Diceros bicornis minor: one gene and its partners. The main gene of each other region encodes a partner of the protein of the gene in region 3 in a complex. Links are inferred from orthologs where the notes say so. Each region holds a gene or a part of one and is shown on either strand. Other genes may lie near its edges.

What was found. Proteins that work in one complex are often made in the same cells at the same time.
Region 1: the proteins of CACNA1S (region 3) and STAC2 are in contact, whole or in part, in a crystal structure (PDB 6B27), measured with the Homo sapiens proteins. The link is inferred for Diceros bicornis minor from reciprocal best matches to the Homo sapiens genes CACNA1S and STAC2. Residues at the interface, in NP_000060.2 of Homo sapiens: Glu749, Pro750, Glu751, Ile752, Pro753, Ser755, Pro756, Arg757, Pro758; in NP_945344.1 of Homo sapiens: Tyr301, Lys302, Phe303, Gln306, Glu307, Asp310, Asn326, Asp328, Trp329, Phe340, Pro342, Asn344, Phe345.
Region 2: CACNA1S (region 3) and STAC3 share a complex: the UniProt entries of both Homo sapiens proteins name them as parts of the calcium channel complex. The link is inferred for Diceros bicornis minor from reciprocal best matches to the Homo sapiens genes CACNA1S and STAC3.

The regions. Positions count from the first base shown.
Region 1 is NC_080757.1:39,006,174-39,013,261, reverse strand, and holds the start of STAC2 (SH3 and cysteine-rich domain-containing protein 2), read left to right. Parts: upstream 1-4,071; 5' UTR 4,072-4,245; intron 4,246-4,434; 5' UTR 4,435-4,462; coding exon 4,463-4,552; intron 4,553-7,088. UniProt on the Homo sapiens protein: Plays a redundant role in promoting the expression of calcium channel CACNA1S at the cell membrane, and thereby contributes to increased channel activity. Slows down the inactivation rate of the calcium channel CACNA1C.
Region 2 is NC_080756.1:11,653,000-11,660,130, forward strand, and holds the start of STAC3 (SH3 and cysteine-rich domain-containing protein 3), read left to right. Parts: upstream 1-4,114; 5' UTR 4,115-4,210; coding exon 4,211-4,637; intron 4,638-4,878; coding exon 4,879-4,976; exon of another isoform or gene 4,977-5,121; coding exon of another isoform or gene 5,122-5,187; coding exon 5,188-5,260; intron 5,261-6,155; coding exon 6,156-6,253; intron 6,254-7,131. Other genes in the region: R3HDM2 (R3H domain-containing protein 2), read left to right, coding at 159-499. UniProt on the Homo sapiens protein: Required for normal excitation-contraction coupling in skeletal muscle and for normal muscle contraction in response to membrane depolarization. Required for normal Ca(2+) release from the sarcplasmic reticulum, which ultimately leads to muscle contraction.
Region 3 is NC_080777.1:29,420,817-29,428,014, forward strand, and holds the start of CACNA1S (voltage-dependent L-type calcium channel subunit alpha-1S), read right to left. Parts: upstream 3,018-7,198; coding exon 2,866-3,017; intron 1,008-2,865; coding exon 902-1,007; intron 1-901. Other genes in the region: ASCL5 (achaete-scute homolog 5), read right to left, coding at 4,647-5,207. UniProt on the Homo sapiens protein: Pore-forming, alpha-1S subunit of the voltage-gated calcium channel that gives rise to L-type calcium currents in skeletal muscle.

The DNA.
Region 1 (7,088 bases), on a different chromosome or scaffold from region 3:
AAGATCCTCCTTTAACAATTTGGGACCCCCGATGCTCATCCCTCTAAAGTTCTAACCCTTAACAGCCCTCCACCTCCTTGTTTACTCCAAAGAGAAGACATTGCTGTTACCGTGGTAACAAATGCTTTGTGGGAGGGTAGGGGGAATGGACTAGAGAAAGAAAGTAGTGGCTTCAGGACACTCGCAGAGGCATAGGAGGTGGGGGGTGGGCAAAATGGCACAGGGCCTGGGGAAGGGCACCAGGGGCTGTGACCCACCCCACACCATGGCTGCTGTCAGCCCTATTTCCCCAGCCTCAAGGAGAAAAGGAACAGGCTAGAAGGGAATGTCTTCCTGGGAGGAGAGGTTTTCCTCGTGGAGGAGACCGAAGCATCCCAACCTCATTACCCTCCGACAGGAGAACAGGTCTCCTGGAGAGCCCGGCTTGGTGGGGGATGGGTGAGGGACTGCATGCACCGGAGCCCAGGTTGTTCCCCTCCAGGGAGCCTGGGGCACCGAGAGAGGGAACAGCTCACCCACAGCATGATAGGGACAGTGCCACCGGCAGTGGGGGGCGGCACTATGCCAGTGTCCCGAGCTCCAGGGGTTGGTGGCGGCAGGGGGTGGAGGGGCCCTCCTCCAGCCCCTGGGGACCTGGCTGTCCCAGATGCCACAGTCGGGAAGTGTGTCAGGCACTTGCGTAAGAGGCTTCTATATTTTCATAAAATCGTAATTACCGATACCAGCCATGGGCCTTAGCTCATTAGAGAGGTATCTGCCTCTGCGGCTCTGGGGTGGGCTGGCAGGGGGACATAGGGGAGACTGGGCAAGGCCAGGCCTCTCACTGCATTCTCTGCATCCCCACTGCAGCCCCACTGAGCCTGGGCCTTCTTCCTCTCCCCAGCTGGGAGATGAGAATTCAGACTTGGCCTCAACCATGACAGGCTCCCCCACCCTAGGAGCCCTGATTCTAAAGCTGGAGAGAAAGGCCAGCCACTCATGTTTTCAGCTTGGGCTGCCCTTGGCAACCCATGGGAGCAGAGGCCACAGCAGGAAGGAGATTGACCTGAAAGTGCTTATGGGAGGAAATAGGTCAGTCCTCAGGGAAGGAGATGTGATCCTCCACATCAGAGAATCTCGACCACTCAGAGTGGAGGGGACCCTGGGGGTCATTCAGACCAGTGGCACTTAACCTTTTGGGCTCTTAGAGTCTCTAAGGAGCAGATGAATCTCTGGACTCTCCCCCAGAAAATGCTTATCCTCCAAATTTTTACACAGCTTCAAGGAGTTCATGAATTCCCTGAAGCTCACCTGCAAGCTCAAGGTTAAGGATGCATAATAATAATAATAACTATTTATTGTGCACTTACTCTGCCCAGATCTCTATATATACTAACTCATTTAATCCTCAAAAGAACGCTAAGAGGTGTACAATTATTGTCCCCATTTCAATCCAACTCCCCATTTCTACCTGATCTAGTCCAATTCTGCCAATCTAAAAAGAAAACCATAGTCCCTCCAGCCCAAGGTCACAGAACAGGAAGAAAAATCAGATCAGAATGGGGACCAGGCTCTCTTAACATGCTGGACATTGTGCTGCACACAGATTCGAAGTTATCTCGTCCATCCTTCTGTCCCCGGGCTCCAGAGAGCCCAGCGCCCCCTCTGGTTCACTCGGCTCTCCTAGTAAGAGGCACCCCAGTAGCCCATTAGACTTCTGGTCTACAGAGCCCTTCTGAGAGTGTGACTGCCGCTTTTCCCTCTGTAGGATCTTGCTCCTTGCTCGGCTCATCCCTCATTTCTGCCCTCTGAACTTGAGATGGGACAATGTTCCTCCTTCCCCAGGAGGAGCTAGCCTGGCTGCTCCTGCCTTGTCCCTAGCCACTGCAGTGGGAGTTGTCGGCACTGAGACAATGACTCAGACTTAGTTCATGAAAGACAGCTCTGAAACATCAAGGCTGTGAGCCAGAAAGGACATCCAGAGGTCATGGGATCCAGCCCACTGCCTCCTCCACATCTGTCCCACCTCAGGCTTCTGATGTGAGACCAGATGGGCCCCAGGGCCCACCAACTTTCCTGCCTTTCCTTGGTCACTGGTGACACTGATTCCCCTGGGAATGCTTCCCCGTGTCGAGACTCTCCTTCTGTGTCCACTCCCCGTGGAATAACAGGCTCCAAATGGCCCAGGAACGTGAGGGAAGGAAGCTGTTTCTTCTCTCTGCCTCAGAGAAAGCACTGGGAAACGACAAGCTTCCAGAAGAAAGGAGGGAAAGAAGAAAATAACTTTCCCTGCCTGTCTTTCCCAGGCTAAGTGGCATCCTGCACTATCTCATTCATTCACCTAAGGGTGAGGGAGGCACAATCTCCGTTTTGCTTATGAAGACATCAAGGGTCTGAAAAGTTTAATTACCTACCCAAGGTCACACAGTTAATTTGTGACTATACAGTTATTGGACTTTAAGGAAACTTGAGCCCCGGCTCTTTGGGGAGAAACAGGAGTACCTCTTCCCGGGGGGTCACCAAACACAGAAGTCCCTGTTTACTCCAGCCCAGGATAGATGGAGGGCCTGATGACCCTACCTCAGGTTGCTCCGAGCATCCCTAAGACTGAGTTGCCCAGGGAGGGGACATTGGGCTGAGCTGGGCTGGGCAAGAGGGAGGAGGGCAGTCCTCAAAGGGGATTGGGAGAAGGCTGGTAACGAATGGGCCTTTGGAGAAACTGGTCCGAGGGCTGAGGCCAGGTTCTATTGAAGCTCCTTTCAGGAAAGCTAGCACCCAGAGAGTCTGCAGCTGCAGTGGATGGGTCTGGAGAGGGAGGGAACAAAGCGCCCACAACCACAAACCCTCGTGTCTTCCCTTGTCCTACTTCTGCCACTGGCAAATAAATATATATTCCTAGACACAGTAACCTGAGCAGTGCTCCAATGGTGAGCTCATCCTTGGAAAGACGGAGATGGCATGAATGGCTATGTGCACAGGGTGGGGAGTGGGGGAACGCAGGGTTCAACATCTGTCTTCCAGGGCTGGCCTAAAAGCAGGACCCTCTGGAGTGCCACCCCCACCCCCCATCTCATCACCTACAGCAGATTGAGGAGGAGGGAGACTTAGACCCAGAAGTCTCTCCACCCACACTCAGGGAAGGATTCTCTCAACTCCCAACCTATATCCCTGTGGACAAGCCAAGAGATGAAGCTAGACCTTTTGGTCAGGGCCAGAGGGGGCAGGAGGTGAGGGAGGAGGACTTGGGGAAATGGCAGGTAAGCAACATGCATTAGAAGAGGTACCTTCAGGCCAAGTGGACAGAGGACACCTTGGAGGGTAAGAACCCTCTTCTCCCCACCTCTCCCTACCTGCTGATCTAACTCCATTTGTGGTAGGATCTTTAGGGGGGAGGCATGTCTTGAGGTGGTTTGGGGACTTCAGGTGTGGGGATTGAGGCTCTTTCTCTGCTGAAGTCCAGACACCAAGACTGGAAAGGAATACAGTTGTCCCACTTTCCGTCCACAAAGTAGGGTTTGTCAGGCCTGGTCTTTGACACATGATAAGTTGTCCTTTCTCTCCTTAAGGAAACCCCTACCTCATAGTCCAGGGGTGTGTATATCTGGAGAGAGCCTCTCCAGGGCAGAGAGACATCCAGTTAACGGGGCACAAGTGTCCCCATTCTTCCTCCACTTCGCTTTCAGGAAGTCCTAACTTTGATTTCATTCTCAGCTATCCTTCTGCAGATCCAACCTATTTCTATTTCCCCCGACCCCATCCACACTCAAATACGATCTCCGGAGCGTTCCTTCAACCTTGTCACGCCCCCCACTCCCCCTCTTCCGAGGTTTTTCCGTGTAAAACTGTCCCCTCCACTTCTTTACCCTCCAAGCCCCTCCCCATCTTGTCGAGCCCCCACAGGCTCCGCCCAGCTCGCCCTCCTGGCCACGGCAGCAGCCAATAACTGAGAACCTGATTTGCATAGCGGCGCCGTGGGGGAGCAGCGGAGGCAAGGGGGAGGGACCAGGCGACCTCCTAAATCAAAGTTGGGAGGCGAGAACTGGGCGGAGGGCCCGCGGGTGCCGGGTTGGGCCCGGCGGGGGGAGGGGCAGGGGGATGGGGGGCGGGCGCAGAGGACCGCGGAGCCGGCCGGACACGGACAGCTCCGTCGCTCCCTCCCTCGGCTCATCCCTGCGTCCCCACTTCCCTCCTCCCCTCGCTCTGAGCAGCATCCTCTGCACACCCTCGGTCCTCACTCCCGCGTTCGTCCGGCTCCCGCGGCTCCGTGTAATTGCCTCCTCTCACCGGCCAACCCCGGAACTTTCTCCACCCGGGCCCAGGAGTCGGGGGTGGCTTCGCCAGGGCGGGTTTCAACTAGGGTTCATTGGGGGGCAATCTCTGGAGAAGGGCTTCAAGGTCCCAGAGAGACGCCCACCACCCGCAACCTGCCCCCATCGGGCCTGCCGTCGGGCCTAGGCACCCTCTCGCCCCTTCTACCCCAACCATGACCGAAATGAGCGAGAAGGAGAACGAACCGGATGACGCGGCCACCCACACACCCCCGGGGACCGGCTCTGCCCTCCAGGAAACCAAGGTAACTCGGGAGTCACAAGGCCTGGGCCCCTTGCCCGGTGCGCCCCTGGCCCCCGCGCCCTCTTCCAGACGCGGTCGCCACTGTGGGCTCAGGTGCCCTGGGTCACGGTAGCGGGGCCCCTGTGATCCCTAAGGCTCCGCGTGGCCACTTGGGGGGAGTGGGTTCGCGACGAGGGGCCACAAGGAGCCCCCATCACACAAGCACGACACGCCCTTGCGCGCGTGATGAGCGGACGCGCTACCGTGACCCTCCAGGGAGGTGGGAACTGGTCTTTGTTGGAGGGAATCGGCGCAGCGAAGGCGGAGGGAGTGTGTAGCGGTGTGTAGCGGGTTTGGGACGGTGTACGCGCTGTGTGTGCGTGCGAGGCGCACCCCTCCCGTGTCCGCCAGGTCTCTGTCTGTAGCTCAGTCTGTCCCTCTCCCTTTGCCTGTGTCTCTCTGAAAATGTCTCTACAACCTGTTTGTCTCTGTCTTGGTGTCTCTCTCTGTGCGTCTCTCCCGGGTTCTCTCGGCGTCTCTATGTGTTTATCGGAGTCTCTCTGGACGTCTCTCTCTGACCCGCCGCAGTCCTGCGTTTCCCCGCTCCCAACCGGGCTATGCTCGGGGACGTGAGGCCGCGGCCCAGGGGTACGCAGCTCCGAGTCCGCGCTGGGGGCTGCGGCAGCGCGGCCCATCGCGGGCGGGGACCGGGGGACTGTTGCGGCTCTAGAGCAGAGATAGGCAGCCCCACCCCCCACCCCGGGAGCGGGACGGGGGGGGGGGTTGAAGCAAAAAGAGAAGTCATCATAATTAACGAATGTCATAATTAACCCTAATTATGTATGATTGTTACTCCTGCGGGAGTCACAATGAATAAATTATTCCCCAGTGAAGTCAGGCAGAGCCCAGACTCCTGGCGCTGAAGGGGGTGGGGGGAGAACGCCGCTCACATTCAACGCCTCCCCCCATCTCTAATCTGTCCGCTCCCTCCCCAAGTTCCAGGTTTTCGCTACTGACCCGCAAGAAGTTCTGCGGGAGCAACCTGAGCGGGCTGGGGATGAGGAGAGAAGCGGCTGTGTCAAGGGTGCTCCCTGTCCCCTCCCCAGACTTCAGGCTGAGACCTCATTCCCTGTCCCTTCCACCAGGAGTTTTGTTCTCACTCTGCTCCTGTCCTCCAGATGAGGAGGGGGACAGGGAAAACCAGAAATGGGTGGGGTCTTTGGCTCCCCCTGGTATCACTTGCTCATCTACAGCTCTTTCCATGTCCATCTTCCTCCTCATTCTGTCTTGACCATCCCCCAAGATATGAGGTTAATTCAAGGTCAAGGTCATCAATGGGGAGATAAGTAGGACCAGGGTGGGGTCTGGCTGAGACACTCCAGCTACCTCCCCATCCCTAAACCAGAGGGACCCAGCGGGTCTCCATGTACAGGTCTCCAGATCCGCACTTGACCTTCTCCTGGCCCCTTCAGAGAACGAGCCCCTGGGGTCTCAGACAACAGAGTCAACTCCCCCTCAGAGAGCCAAGTCTCTACTGGGAAAGAGTTGTTGGGATGGGAGGTTATTGCTTGGCAGTCGTGACAGCTTCTTTCAAGCAGAGGGTCCCAAGAGCTGAGCCCCATCCTAATTTCCAATGCCCCTAACCTTCTCAGTTGCTCTCTAGTTGCCCTAGACAGACATACACAATCCCCCTGCTTGCTTCCCAGAGGCTTGGGGGCATCCCAGGCCCTGCTCTGCTTCCCACGCCAAGGCCTGACCTCTCTGCCCCCTCCTTAAGAGCTCTCTGAAAGCAGGCAGGAGCTGGGCAGTGCTGCCTTAGCAATCAGCAGGCTGCAAGCTCAGCTGCGTGGGGAGGGCGCGGTCAGAGCCTGGCAGTTCTGTACCTCTCTCCCCCCAGCCCAAGGGCCCTGCAGTGCCATTACCTCTGGGTCTGAGCCCTGGAGATCCAAGGAGCAGGGGAGGAGGGGGATGCACACCTGACCTGGCCCCTCTGTGCCAGGCCAGTTGGAGCCCTGCCCCTTTGCCGCCCTCCCCCCAGCCTTGTGAAGGACTCAGTAATAACAATACAGGCCGACCTGGGGTCTGGGAGGGTGGTACTCGGGATGGCAGAGGAGGGGAGAGAGAGAATTCAGGGCCCTTGCCAGCCTCCTTTCATGCCCCCACCTCAACCTGTTCCCAAAGAAGTCTCTGTCTCCAGACTGTAGGGGTGAGGGAGAGGGAAGGAAGTGGGTTGGTTGCTGCCCACCCAGCTCAGTTTGAGGCAGGTACAACAGAGGGGGCTGGTGCCCATCAGGCAATGAAGCCAATATTCTAGGCTTATTCATCAGCGTTTGGGGCCCCGTGCGCATTTCTTGCCTGCCCATGTCCAGCCTCCTGCCCACCTTAAGGTTAGGGCTCACGCCTATAACCAAGCTACTCAGCGACCCTGCTAGTGTCGACATCGCCTTCTCTGCGTCCCCATCCCATCCTACCACATAGGGCCTGCCACCACCTGCTTTGGTGCCATCCTTGGGAAGACCCTGCCCTGCCAGCTCTGCCATCTGAGCTTGTGCCAGGTC
Region 2 (7,131 bases), on a different chromosome or scaffold from region 3:
ATGGTGGGGGGTTGGGCTGATTTGGGGAGGGAGGAAAGGGCTGAGTGGGAAAAGCCAGGCTTTTGAGGACACTGTATACAGCCTTGGTCAGCCAGCCGCTGTCCAGTCCTCCCTGCTTTGCACCTCTCACAACCATGTCCTCTCTCCTCCCCTTCCAGTCCTGGGGCGGGTGCTGGAGGTGACAGATCTCCCTGAGGGCATCACCCGTACAGAGGCGGACAAACTCTTCACTCAGCTTGCCATGTCCGGCGCCAAGATCCAGTGGCTCAAGGATGCTCAGGGGCTGCCTGGCGGGGGTGGGGGGGACAACAGTGGGACTGCCGAGAACGGCCGCCACGCGGACCTCGCTGCCTTGTACACCATCGTGGCTGTGTTCCCCAGCCCCCTGGCTGCTCAAAATGCCTCCCTTCGCCTCAACAACTCTGTGAGTCGCTTCAAACTTCGAGTGGCCAAAAAGAACTATGACCTGAGGATCCTGGAGCGAGCCAGCTCCCAATAAACGGAGGAGGGGAAGGGACTGGCCTGGTGGGGGTGGAGGCAGGTTGGAGAGTTGAGGCATCCTGACAGACCACAGACAGAGGCAGAAAGTAAGGTGACAGACACTAAACTGGAGCCTAAGGCAGGAGAGATGAAGATGGGATCAGAGACCCTCACAATGGCACTGGGCTCCTTGCTCCCCTGTCATGGGTCCCCTCTTTTTCTCTGGTTGGCCCCCCTCTGCTTCCCTCTCCTTCCCATCCTCTTCTGTCATTTTTTTATCTCTTTGCCCACCGTGAAATTAATTTATTTCATATTTTTGGTCAGGTAGAATTGGGAGGGTCCCACACTCCCCTCTTCTCCTATTTCTGTACCATCCCAAGCTCCCTTTTCTTTTTTGGTCTTTACGAATATATTTATATGGACAGAATTAAGAAAAATGAAATTGATTTCCCCTTTCTCTCACTTCCCCCATCTTGTCTCCCTAAACCCCACAGAGTTAAAAACTTGGGCCTCCCCCCCACAGAACACTTGTATATTGTTTGTTTGAGGTTCGTGCCGCAGTAACAGACACAGTATTTAATTGCACATACAGATGTTTGCTGGGTATATTCACTGTAAATTTATTTAATCTGATTTTTTGTTTGGGGGGGTTATCTGGGGAGAGGTTGATTTTGTTTTTAAATATAAAAAAAAAAAAAAAATCTGTCACTTGACGTCAGTCCCTGTTTCTCTCTTGCCGCCCTGGTGTGGGTGGGGGTTGGAGGTCCTGGGTAGGTACAGCCCCACAGCTGTTGGAGGGATTTGATGTGGGTTGGGATGGCTTTCCCTAGCATATGCACACATATCTTCCTAACACTGTTCCCTGTGTCCCTTCCTCCTCCTTGCACATAATATTCTGATAGATGGCTGGGTCTCTAATGGGACCTTGGGTTCTGGGCTCTCCCAACTCAGCCACTAACTGTGGTTCATCAGGCACGTCACTTTTCCTTTCTGGACCTCTGACTCCTTTATCAGTACAATAAAAGACTTGGACTGACTGGGTGACCTCTAAGATTCCTTCCACTCTGTTAAGTCTGTGATACTCATTTAGGGCCCTCATGGCTGAGCTGGGGAGGGGTGAGTGAGGTCCAGAAATGAGTTGAGATGCTGCCTCATACCTGTCCCTCTAATCTTCTGAAAACTCTTCAGGGATGGAGGACTTGGGCCTTTCTTTAATCCTAAAGCCAGAGGATTGAGTTTTACCTGGTAGGAACAGAGGTAGATGTTTCTTACAATAAAAGCTACATCAATTGAACTTGCAGTGCCAAGATGCCATGTTATCCAGGCGTGCTCAGCGGTCCGTGGCCTATGCAGCTGAAGAATGGTGAAGAGCAGAAGTCACTTGCTTGCAAGATGGAGCTTTTCCTCACTCTGAGGCTTCTTAAAGCTAGCCCTGTTGTGCAGAGGGTCAGACCAGGGCCGTTAAAGAACCTGTAGACCCAGAACCTCCAAGCAGCCCCTTTTCAATCTCACCCACTCCTTAAAGAGAAAAAAGAGCAGTGGTAGAAATGACCGAGCACCTTGCCCTGGAAATCTCTTGGGTCTGGGTAGCCGCATCTCTAGCCAGTCCCTTCTGAAGCTTGTCTGACCCAACCTGCAATGTAATCCTTTACTTCTTACAGATACAAGGCATAAAGCAGCACTACAGTACCAGCTCCAAATCGCTCTCCTCTGAGATGGAGTACCTCCTCTTTCAGCCATGTCGCAGCCCAGGGTAGGGGAAGGCTGCATCCCTGTGAGATAAGAATGCCAGATATCTCACTGACCCAGCAGTTCGTATACCTGGGGCATCAGAGGAGGGCGATGGAATCAGAACCAAAGTGATTTAGGAAGTGTGAGGCTTGGCCCTCCTACCTCCAAGAGTCGAGTCTGCAGTTCTCATGGGGAAGGAGACATTACTTACAGATGATAACTCCCCATGTGGCAGCTCTTGCCTTCTGTCCAATGTTAAGAGGACCATCTCTACGTGATTGTTAGACCCTCACCCCCCCAGAACCCCTCAGATGGAAGTCCCAGCCTGGCTTTTTTTAGTAACTCTTAGAATTCCCTTCACCCTGAGGACAAGATTTTAGAGGAATCCGGGGAAAGATGTCTCTGGGGGCAGCTGGAGGGAACAAAGCGGTACTACATGTTCCTCACTCCCTTACAGGATGGCAGCAAGTTGCCCCTCCAGCCACCACGGATAGGAGAGCAGTCTCCTCTGGCTGATAGGAGAGCTCTGAGAATGCAAATTTCCCTGTCTTCACCCGTCCCCAGCCCTTCCCTTCCTAAAAGTTTGAGGCTAGATTGATGCTTGAGAGTATAAAAATACATGGCCACATGAAGACAATGGCTGAGAGGTTCCTAAAGTAGGTCCAGAGAGGGTAGAATTTTAGATGACTACCTTCCTTCATCTAAAATCACCCAAATGAGGATGCAGCATGAACACCGTCCCTTCCTGAATTTAGCCGTTACTGACCTACACACTGTGGATGAAAAACCAGGGAACAGCAGCTCTGGGGGATGGGAGGACTTAGGGTCCAGCCCTGCCCAGGCCACCCCGTGTCCAATTTCTCTGTGTCAGCTGTGTCACTCAGCTGTCCACTTTGCTCCAGCCCTGTCATTTCAGCTCTGACACCAAGGCGAGAGGCTAAGAGGTCTACAAATACCGTCTGGGTAGCTGGTGTGAGTACACAGGGTAGTGGGGGGGCTTAGCCCCCAAGGAAGAAGACCAGTCCTCCCCCAGCACCACCATCAAGACCCCAGGTGCTCCCTCCTCCCTCCACAGACTCTGGACTGACTAGGGAATCCCAAACGTAAGTTGCCTTGTCATCCTCTTCCCATTTCCAGGACTGCTTACCCCAGCTTCCCCAATCCGTAGTCTGTTCAGCTTATTTCTCTCCTCCTCTGTGAGTAGTTTGGGTTTTAGGAGTGAAATTTATTATTCTACTCCAGAACAAGAGTTAGGATTGGAAGGTGGGGTGGGGGTGGGGTCAAGGTAATGGAGTAGTAAGGGAAGGAAAGGCTCATATTACTCTGAAAACTTAAAATAGCTGAGGGCTGAGGCAGGCTGGGAACTAAGCACTGGGCCCCTGGGGCTCAAGAAAGAGGGGAGAACAAATGTCCCCAGCCCATCCCATCATGCATGCTATGGACACACACATTAAACTTGCTGAAGAAAGGGGATCTGGGAAGGTGTATGTCATGTCTCTACTGCACACAAAGTACCTGTAGGAAATGCCCTAAACCGTACAGACTTGAGCACTGTGTTGGGGCTGTAAACTCGGGTTGTCCCTCAGGGTGGAAGGATGGGTATCAGTTTGAGGAACTGGTTGGGAAGTTCTTGAGTCTGTTGGGCTTTTCTCTGGACTTCCGTGGAAACTTTCTGTTCATAAGCCTGTGAAAGGATCCCTGTTTAACCAAATTTCCCCTGAAGCCTCCTCTTCAAGGACCACCCTACTGTGAGGGACAGGAATAGGGAGGGAAGAATGGCAGGCAGAGGTGACATTTCATAGTGGGGTCTGACCTCTTGCAGGATGACAGAGAAGGAGGTGCTGGAGTCCCCTAAGCCCCCCTTCCCAGCAGAGACTCGGCAAAGTGGGGTGAGTCTGGGCCTCTGACCACCAGCTGTGGGGAGCTGGGAAGCCATGGCAACCCTTGATGAAAAGCGCTTGAGTTGATCTCACTAGTATGTGACTCATTTATTGTTAGAATGCTAGCCAGCACCTGCAGCCCCCAATACCCCCCAATGCTGGGCTGTGCCCCTTGCCCGAGGCTAGAAAAATGTCTAGTCAGCTTCCACCTTACCTCCTCTAGAAAGCATGACAGTTCTTTTAACATTGGGTTTCCTTCCCTCCTTCCCTGCCTCCCTCAGCTACAGCGGCTGAAGCAGTTATTCAGGAAGGAGTCCACAGTGACAAAGGAGATGGAGCTGCCCCCAGAGCCCCAGGCTAATGGGGAGGCAGTGGGAGCTGGGGCTGGGCCCATCTACTACATCTATGAGGAAGAGGAGGAGGAAGAGGAGGAGGAGGAGCCACCCCCAGAACCTCCTAAGCTTGTCAATGATAAGCCCCACAAATTCAAAGATCATTTCTTCAAGAAGCCCAAGTTCTGTGATGTCTGTGCCCGGATGATTGTGCGTGAGTCTTGAAGGGAAGTGGAGAGAGTGTGATGTCGAAGGCAGGGGGCGGGGACAGAGTTTAGGAGAGGGGTATTTGTATCACAGACAGGCTTTGGCATGATTTTGGCTTTAAGAAAATACTATTAGAGACTGAGAATGTTGGCTCCCAGACAGAAAAGGGACTAAGAGCTCGAGGAGCAGCTGTGGCATGAGGGAAGGGAGCTCAGGGACCTCACCCAAACATTCTCCCCTCTCCCAAGTCAACAACAAATTTGGGCTTCGCTGCAAGAACTGCAAAACTAACATCCACGAACACTGTCAGTCCTACGTGGAAATGCAGAGGTGCTTCGGGAAGATCGTGAGTAGACCTTGGGAGCAAGAAAGTAGAAGGGAGGGGCGTGTTGCCAGCTACCCTCTTGCCAGTCCCTCCTCAAGTCATCCCGTCCATTTCCCTGCTGCTTCTTTCTCAGCCCATCTCTTACTCTAAGAAGAGGTGAGCACTCATGGGAGAGATGGGTTCTGGGCCCTTCCTTGCTATCTCTAATGTTTTCTCCCATCCCCTCCTACAGCCCCCTGGTTTCCATCGGGCCTATAGCTCCCCACTCTACAGCAACCAGCAGTACGCTTGTGTCAAAGATCTCTGTAAGTGCCCCCTATGGGACCTGAGGGAACGGGCAAGCCTAGAGACCGTGTCAGCACCACCTTTAGATTTGGAAGCAAATTCTGAAACAGAAAGATCCTATTTCACAAGATTGTCTCTCAAGCTAAACTTTTAGCCATCTTGGATGCAGTCAATATTCCCATTTTATAGCTGAGGGAGATAAGATTTAGCTAGGGCTTCACACAGATAACAAGAGACAGAGCCAAGACTGAAACCTTCATCTGCCTAACTTCAAAATCTGTGCTCTTCATATATGAAACCATTTCTAAGCAAGAACAAGGATTTTAGACTCTCTACATCCTGGTTACAGAATAATGCCAAACTCAAAGCCAGACCAAGAGCTGTGAGCATCCTGGGCAGATTCATAATTTGGCAACCCTTCAAAAAGTATTCATTGACAATTTCTCAAGATTTATTTGGAGGAGAGGCTGAACTCTGTGAGGAGCATGGGTGGAAAAAGAAGAACCCACCGGTGTTAGCATCCCCGCTTACACATGCCACTCAGCAGAACAAAAGCCAGCAGTTAAAAGACCACTCTCCTTAGAAGGAGAATAGTGATTCTGAGGATTCCCCAACTCCCAAGCAGCATGTTAGCAAAGCTGTCTTTCCAACATCATATAATGCTCTGCCTAGAAGGAGTGCTGGTAAACATTTTTCTCTATCACATTACATTTCCAGGGATATTTTTAGAGCTCTTTATAGATTGATGACCTAGGTAGCCCAGCTGACCCTTCCCTAATCCTACACAAACATGCGCACATGCATGCATGTCTATCTGCTCAGTCCCACCTCTCCCTTACTTAGGAGGTCTCTCTTTCCTTCAAGCCTTTCTCTGCCTCCGCAGTAATGTCTTCTTTCTTTTCCCATTCCCGCTAGCTGCTGCCAATCGCAATGACCCTGTGTTTGAAACCCTGCGCACTGGGGTGATCATGGCAAACAAGGAACGGAAGAAGGGACAGGCAGATAAGAAGAATGTGAGCACCATACCTTCCTACTGAGGTCCCTTCCAGAGACCCTGTGGAGCAGGTCCTCCCTCCTCTCTGGAAAGCTGACAGAAGCTAGGGATCCTCTCCCTCTAAAATTGCACATAACCCAACAGATACATTTTTGTGTGCAATTTTAGAGGGCCTCAGGTTAACAACTCCTGCCATAGTGTGTTTTCTCCAGGAACTCCCTTCTGAAATTGTCAGATTAACCACCAACAAACTGAAGCCTAGGCCCCAGGCCCCTGGCATTGCTGGGCACCAGAGACAAGAGCAATGCTTTTGGATTTGGGAAAGAGAACTTGCCATGCCACGTAATCAGAGAATTTTAGAGCCATGCAAGGGTCCATGAAGATCATCTGGTCTGACCCATTTCCTATAGATAAGGAAACTGAGGCACAAAGCTAGTGGCCAAGAGCAACTTTACTTCCTTTTGTAATAGGGTTACTAGATCAGTAATGCCATAGACTTGCACTCAGTTCAGCAAGGAATTTGTTAGTGTATCCTTGTATTTTTCTGTACAACCAGATGGACCAATGTGGATAATGGTTACAGTTGGATGGATTCCTAAAATTGGTTGCATGACAGTAACCAAAGGATCCTGGTCCTTTAGGAAGTGTCCAGTGAGAGGGAGATTTCTGATGCCTTATAACATGATTCGGTCCTTGGTCCCACCTATGGAAATTTTTCTCACTGATGCAAATGAAGATATAAATGGTATATCCAGGGGCTGGCCCTGTGGCGTAGCAGTTAAGTGCATGAGCTCCGCCGCTGGTGATCCGGGTTCGGATCCCGGGCACACACTGATGCACCACTTGTCAGGCCATGCTGGCACAGATGTTAGCCCAGGGCCAGTCTTCCTCAGCAAA
Region 3 (7,198 bases):
CACACTGCCAACACAGCGAGGACACGGCAGGTCTGACAGTCAGGGAGGCCAAGTGTGAGACCAAGAGAAGACCTGTGTGGGTGACCCCGGGCAAGGTCCCCACCTCTCTGACCCTGTGTCCTTGTCTCATGATGGGTCTAACACTGTCACTGACTCCGCAGGGGTAATTCCGGGGATTAGAAAAGGCAGCTCGGTAAAACACTTATCACAGAGCCCCGCACCTAACGCCTCTTCCTAAGTGTGAAGCATTTCTGTTATTATCCAGCTCTTGGGTAAGGAAGCCCTTCAACCACCAAGTCACCGGTTTCTCACCCATAAAAGAGAGAGGTGGGGAGGAGGCAGGACGGCCTGACTCTGGGAAAGCCCTCCTAGCTCTGGCGGTTGTGGTTCTGCGCTGTGTTATGGTGACGGAGCCTAGGAGGAGGTATAGGACTCTAAACACGTCCTCCCGGGATTTGGAGACCAGACCCTCCCAGGAAGGAAGCTTAGTGGAAGCACCGCTCCTCTGGATTATATCCAGGGAAGGGAGTCAGCCCTCAGCTGCCACCGCTTGCTAGCCGGCCTTGCTAAGCCTCAGCCTCCGCATCTGTCAAATGGGCCTACTCCAAGGGGCTGTTTCGAGGAGTACGTGAGCTGGCTCTTGTAAGGTGCTCAGCGCGGTGCCCAGGCACAGCGAGGGCTCGTCCAGTGCCGGCTGGTAATACCATGGGATCCAGAAGAAGTGAGTTCACTCTGCAAAGCTGTCGAGCCGCTTGGCCAGCCCTGCAGGTGGGCGGGAGGGCGGGGCCTGTATCCTGGGGGTGGGAGCTCCAGCATCACCCACCAGCACACGGTCCCCCAAGGGGGTCTCCCCGCGCCTGGGCTGCAGGCCTGCAGGGGGGGCCGGGGGGCCCCATCTTACCAGGCCGAGGTTCAGAGCGTTGTTGTCATCCTCCGGCATGGGCAGGTACACGGCCAGGGCCACGCAGTTGGCAAAGATGGTGAGTAAGATGATTGTCTCGAAGGGCCTGGTTCTAGGGTTAAGGAGAGTGTGGGGTTTGCAGGGTTAAGAGGAAGAGAGTGCTGGGGGTCAGTCTGGACTGTGACTGTGATGCCGGGCTGACGGGCTCTGTCCCTACAGTCTTGCAGGGTATAGAAAGTGCCAGGCTCCCACCGGGGGGATCTTGTCTCCCTCTCCTCAGAAACAGCTAACTTCCACTTAGATGCTTTGGGACCAGGAAGCTCTGGTCCCCGGCTGGGGGCTACTCAGCTTTAAGGTCCAGGGAAGTCTTAACCCTCTGTTCTAAGGCCTGCCCCTAACCCTGCTCCCACCTGCGTCCTCCAGAGGAGCCAGGACTTTCTGAGGCTCCGGCCAGACAACCTGCGGGCTCACTCAGAGAAATGGCAGGAGAGGCTGTGGGCTGGTGCAGGTTTGGGCTAGGTACCCACAGAGCAGGCCTGGGAAAGGGAAGAGAGAGAGATGGAGCCTGCATCTCAGAGCCCGAGGAGGGACTGGATGACCCACCCGATCAGTGCCGCACGCTGGTGTGCACACCTCGAACCCACTCACGCAGCCCCTCCCAGACGCTCCCACCCCACACAGCGATGTCCAGAGGGTGCCCCGGCCCAGTCCTTTCTTGATCTGCTGGTGAGCAGCAGGGGCCAATCAGAGAGGCTGACCACTGGGAAGCTGGTGTGGAAGGAGGGGAGGGAAGGAACGGAGGAGAGTGTGCGGGTGTGTGTGTGTATGTGTGTGTGTGGATGGGTGGGGAGAAGCACACTGTGTCGATGGGCTTGATTGGAAACCCCATTCCCTTCCCAGCAACCTCCAGTGTTTGAGAAGAGAGGTGGCCACTGGACAGAGGCCTGCGAGAGGAGAAGGCACAGAGGAGCAGAGATGGAGGAGAGAGAGAGCCCGCTGGGTGAACGGAGCCCCAGAAGACAGGCAGGAGGGGAGGCAGCGGGAGGTCCAACGGGCTGAGCGCAGCTTGGGGAGCAGGGCGGACTCTGACCCAAACTATTCCAATCTGGTCCTATGTGCTTCTTTCCCTTCCTATACTCTTCCCTTGCTTATCTCATGCTCTGCTTTCTTCCAGGGAACAGCTGCCGGGAGCCTGTTCTTCCAGAACGCTTCCCACATATTTCAAATGTTTCTGAGCCTCTCTCTTAGGACCCACTGGACATGGGCCTCCCCACCTCTCTCTAGCTCCTTCCTCCCTTCCCCAAATAGCCCAGATATTTTCATCATTCTTCCTCCCATAGCTAACGCAAACAGAGTGATTTCAAACCCCCAACCCCAGGCTGGTGCGTCTGAGCTAAAATAGCCAGGCCTGCTCCTGGGCGCCCTCCACAGCCGGCCTCGTTCCAGCCCATTTCTCCTCCATCCTGGCTGGGATTTTCCCTGGGGGAAGAGTGGAAGCCTTCCTCGGCCCTCACCTCCCTCTTCACTTTTATCCCCTCCCATCGAGATGGGGGATTTTTTTGCAGAGGCCACTGCTTTCTTCTTCCGCATCCTATATCAAAAGGGCGCTGCTGCTTCAAAAACCAGAGAAGTGCCCCACAATAACGTGGATTTGGGATCAGCTGGGAACAGCCCTGAGGAACATCCCAGCCCCTTTCGTAGCGGTCAGTGGGCATCTCAGGCTGCCCCCAGGACTTGGGCTGCACACGCAGGCCCCAGAAGCCCATCAGTTCCTCCTCCTCCTCCTCTGGTCCCCCTCGGTTAGGGCTTCCTTCCCAAAGGCTCCTCACACCGTCTGGGGCAGTCCACCCCGTCTCTAAGTCCCCAGTCCCCCTGGCTCCCAAAGTTTGCAGTCTGTGACCACCCCCTGCCTCCCTCTCCCACGCGACCCATGTCCTCCCTGCTGCCCTGGCCCTAAAGGATACTTCCATTCCACAATGCTGATGCAGGCCTTCCTCAAGGGGTTCTGGAGTGTCAAGCAGAACAAGGCCCGGGGCGGCCTGGGCAGAATCTCAGGAACAGGCTTCTTGGGCTGCTTCTTCCTCAGGCCCTCATCCTGGGGCGAGGACGGCTCCATGGCTCTCCTGGCAGCCTTGCTCTCCTGGCTCCCCCACCCCACTGCCCTCTCCTCCCTGTGTCCCCAGCGCCCCCGCCTTGGGGACTGGCGGGCTAAGCCTGCCAGCCAAGCCTGCCCTGCTGAGCCAGCGGGGCGGGGGCTGGAGGATTACTTTCCCTGCTCCCAGCGAGTAAAATTACCCTCCGCTCGGCTCTCTCTGGCCAGCCCAAACACCCGAGGCCAGGCAGCTGTCATTCCTGCCCAGCCCAGCCAGTGACATCCCAATATGTCCCCGAGGGGGAGGGAACTTCCACACGGGCCTGGGATGGGGCACTGATGGGGCAGCTAGAGACAGGATGGAGGGGTTCAAGGCAGGGGAGATAGAGAGTTTGGGAAGGGGGAGCTTAGGATATGGAGCCTCAAACTTCAGGCTGGCTCCCTCGGGCCCAGCTGAGCTTTCTGCCCCCTGCCCCGTGGCACCAGCCAGGCGAGGTGCTGGTGGCCCAGCTCAGCACAGCTCCACGGCCCCGCATCTCAGGACCTGCAGCTCCCAGGCCAAGCCTCCTGCCCACCGCCACCCCCATGCACACGCATGGCAGGGGAAGCTCACCTCTCCCCACTGGGGTGGAGGCTCCGGAAGACCCTGGAACCTGCACACCTCCAGCAGCACCGGCCACACTGGGTAGTGACTGTACTTTGTGCCTAACTGTGCAGGGTGGTGTGTGTCTCGGGGACGCTGGCCCTCCAGGCACTGTCCCTGGCACACACGTGTGAGCTAAGGGAACACCCCCCACACGCACAGCAAGTGCTCTGAGATGGGAGCAGGAAGGAGTAGGGGTGCGGGGTAGACGAGGGTCCACAACCACCTAGGAATCACAAAAGTCAGCAATCTTTTATTCAGCCCCTTGGAGCAAACACAGCGCCAATGTATCCATATGCCTCCCCAGCCCACAGAGACTACAGGCCCAAGGGAAAAAGGAGGAAACGGGCACCCTGGGGGTGGTGGTGGTGGTGATCGCCCTCCATCGAGGCAGCCAGAGAGCGCCACCCGTGTACACGGATGTCCTCTTCCTCCCTCAGTCGGTTCCACCTGGGCGGAGCGCAAGCAGCAGTCCCGCCTCCCACCTCCAGCTCTGGGCTCCTCTCCGGGGGTGGGGCACGCAAGCTCCCGAGAGGACACTAGCCTTGGAGGCCATCTGGTGGAGAGCGGGGCATAGCACATCCGAACCAAAGCGCGGCTCGCCTCCCGGCGATGGCAGACACCGGGCCTGGGGCCACGGAGGACGGAGCAGGGCCACCATGGTTGGGTGTGCACAACCAGGAGCTGGGTTCCCACTTTCCCAGCGCGGGGCTGAAGCAGAGCCGGAGCCAGACCCAGGGACAACCGTCCCGGGTTGTCCTCCTGCGGCCTGGGGGGGGGGGGGCGCGGCGCCCATCCGGAGCTTCCCCGGTCTTGCGCGCTCACCGCAGCCCCGGGCTCCCGGGTCTCTATAGCGCCCCTCGTACTCCTGCCCTGCACCCCTGCCCCAAGCGGGAAGGGAGGAGGCCGGTGGTGGCGGTGGGGGAGGGAGGGTGTCGCCGCGGATCTCCAAATGTCAGGGTCCCGCCGCACTGCGGGGGACCCCCGAGCCCCGGGCGGCCACGGCGCGGTCAGTGGCCCGATTCCTCCGACTCAAAGAGCGGCGCGGAGGCGAAGCGGGAGGCGTCGGGAGTCTCAGGCGCCAGGGCGGGGGGCGCGCCGTCGGGGCCGTGGGGCCGGGCGCCGGCGGGGGGCGCGCCGTCGGGGGCCGCGCTCAGCAGCTCCTGCAGGTGCTTGATGTAGCGGATGGCGGCGCGCAGCGTCTCCACCTTGCTGAGCCGCTTCTCAGCCAGCGCGCCCGGCAGGTGGCCGCGGAGGCGCGCGTAGCCCTCGTTCACACACTTGACCCGCTGCCGCTCGCGCTCGTTGCGCTTCTGGATGAAGGCGGGCTCGAAGGGGCAGTCGTAGACCCCGAAGGCGCCGGGGAACGGCGCGTAGGGGAACACGCCCGCGTAGGCCTCGTAGAAGGGCGGCTCGGCCGCCCCCGGGTACAGCAGGAGGGGCACGCCGCCCAGGGGATCGGCGGGTGGCAGGGGCGCCTGCCGCCGAGGGGGCGCGACGCCCAGCTGCATGCAGCCGGGGGGCGCCATGGGCCGCCGGTCCACCAGGGCCCGGCAGAAGTTATTGCTCATGGTGCCGCGTGCCCTCCCCGATCGCCGCTGCTTGGGGTCTGCGCGGTCCTGCCCGCGGGCACGAGTCACATGGCCAGCAGCAGCTCTGGGGGACCGGACTTGCTAGGGCTCCTTTTCGCCCTTTGGGGTGGCTTCCGCGGTCTCCCTAACGCGAGCCATCGCTCCCATCTCGTGAGGCTCAGCGGGGACCCTCCAAACCAGCCCGTGGCGCCCAGAACTCCGGGGCCCTCGCGCTCCTCCGCACCTGCCTCCTCCGGCGGCCCAGCGCGGGCGCCTCCCACGGGCGCTAACCCTGGGGCTCCATGCCCGGCCCCCCGCCCGGTTCTCGTTCCTCGCGGCCTTGGGGATCCCCAGGCGGCCGGGGGGCCGGGAACTGACGGCCGCTGTTAGGAGTGTGCCAGCTCCGCAGAGGGGTCTCGGGAAACGTTTCTGAAGAAGAGGAGAGTGAATATATGATTAGGAAAGGCCTTGTGTTGCGGGCTCCTTTGTGCCCCCCCGTCCCCCCCCCCCCCCCCCCCCCCGCAAAGGGGATGTAAGCACCGTGAGGGGAGGTGGTGCGGCTGCTGAAGAGGATACTCAGAGTGGGGCTCAAATCCTGGGCTCACCCCTTAAAGCTTGGGTCATGGTTTTCATATATGGAGATAATTAAAACATCCCTCACAGGAGATTAATAATCTGTGAGAATCAAATGAGACAAAAATATACCATAAAACACCTCCGGGGCCTGGCTTATAAAAAGTGCCGCGTGATACCATTTCCTCTGAGTGGGAATCAAGTCTCATGGCTGATACCTGCCAGGGCCTAGCATCTGGGGGGCTCAAAGACTGCGTGTTGAATGAGCCGTACAAATACCGGTGGCAACCATGAATCCACAGAGGCATCCAGCTTTTTGTTGAAGGAAGTGCATCTTTGACTCTGAGAAACTCAGGCTTTGGGGACTTTCAAAGCCCTCTGCTGGTGGAGAGGCAGTCACCAAGCCTGCCACGCTCTAGTCCACGAGGGTCCAGGATGCACCCTCTCACACCATCCTGGGTTTCTCCTTGGTGGCACTTAACAGAAGAGCCTATTCTTTGACCTCTGTGTGCCCAGAGCCCGGCCCGGCTTCCGGCGTGTCACAGATGCTGCACGAATACTTGCTGAGTAACCGAGAGGGAGGGTCAGGCAGGAAGCTGGGCTGTCAGGGCAGGACTGAATTACACACAGCCTTTCCCAGACTCTAGGAAGCTGTTGTTGTAGAAACAATTGGCCTGTGAATTTAAGTGCCACCAACCCTCATCACATGCGGTTATCGGAATCAACTCAGGTGTCATTTTCTCCAGGAATTCTCCCAGAGCCCACTCCCCTCTCTCGTGTGTGTCCACCGTGTCCTGTAAGTGCCGTCTGTCTACTAGTGTCCTCCTCGTCATGGCAGATCTCAGGGTGCCCTGAATGAGTGAGCTTGTGGTGCGTCCACGGGGAGACTGAGGGGCAGCCTGAGGCCTTGAACACTGGGCAGGGCCTTCCTATGGGACAGAAGGGGACTAGGTCTCTTCCGATGGGGGGACGTCGGTCACAAACTCAGATTCCCCAGAGTCTCTTCTGCGCCTTCTCGTCTTTGTCCTCTTTTCAGGTCCCTAGTCCATTCCCAGTGAGCTCTGCCCTCCATGCTGAAGGAAACTAGGACAACTCAACAGTGATTGTAAGCATCACGGAGACCTGCATCAGGACAAATTCACCAGTCCCTCCCCTGCTCAACAGCCTTGGGGGCTCCCTGCTGCTTTCCAGGGAAGGTTCTAGAAAACCTCTTCCAAATAGACTGTCAGCTCTGTGGGGACCAGTCTCCTCCTGCACCTTGGCTGACACTCACTGGTTGGGGGCCCTCTCTGCCCCTCCCTGCTCTCCCCAGCCCTGCCGTCCCCAGAGGCAGCTAGCCCTGCAGCTCCCACATGGGCTCTCCAGGCTGCACATTCAGCCGGACTGCGCGACGGCAGAGGGCAGAGCCGGCCTTTCAC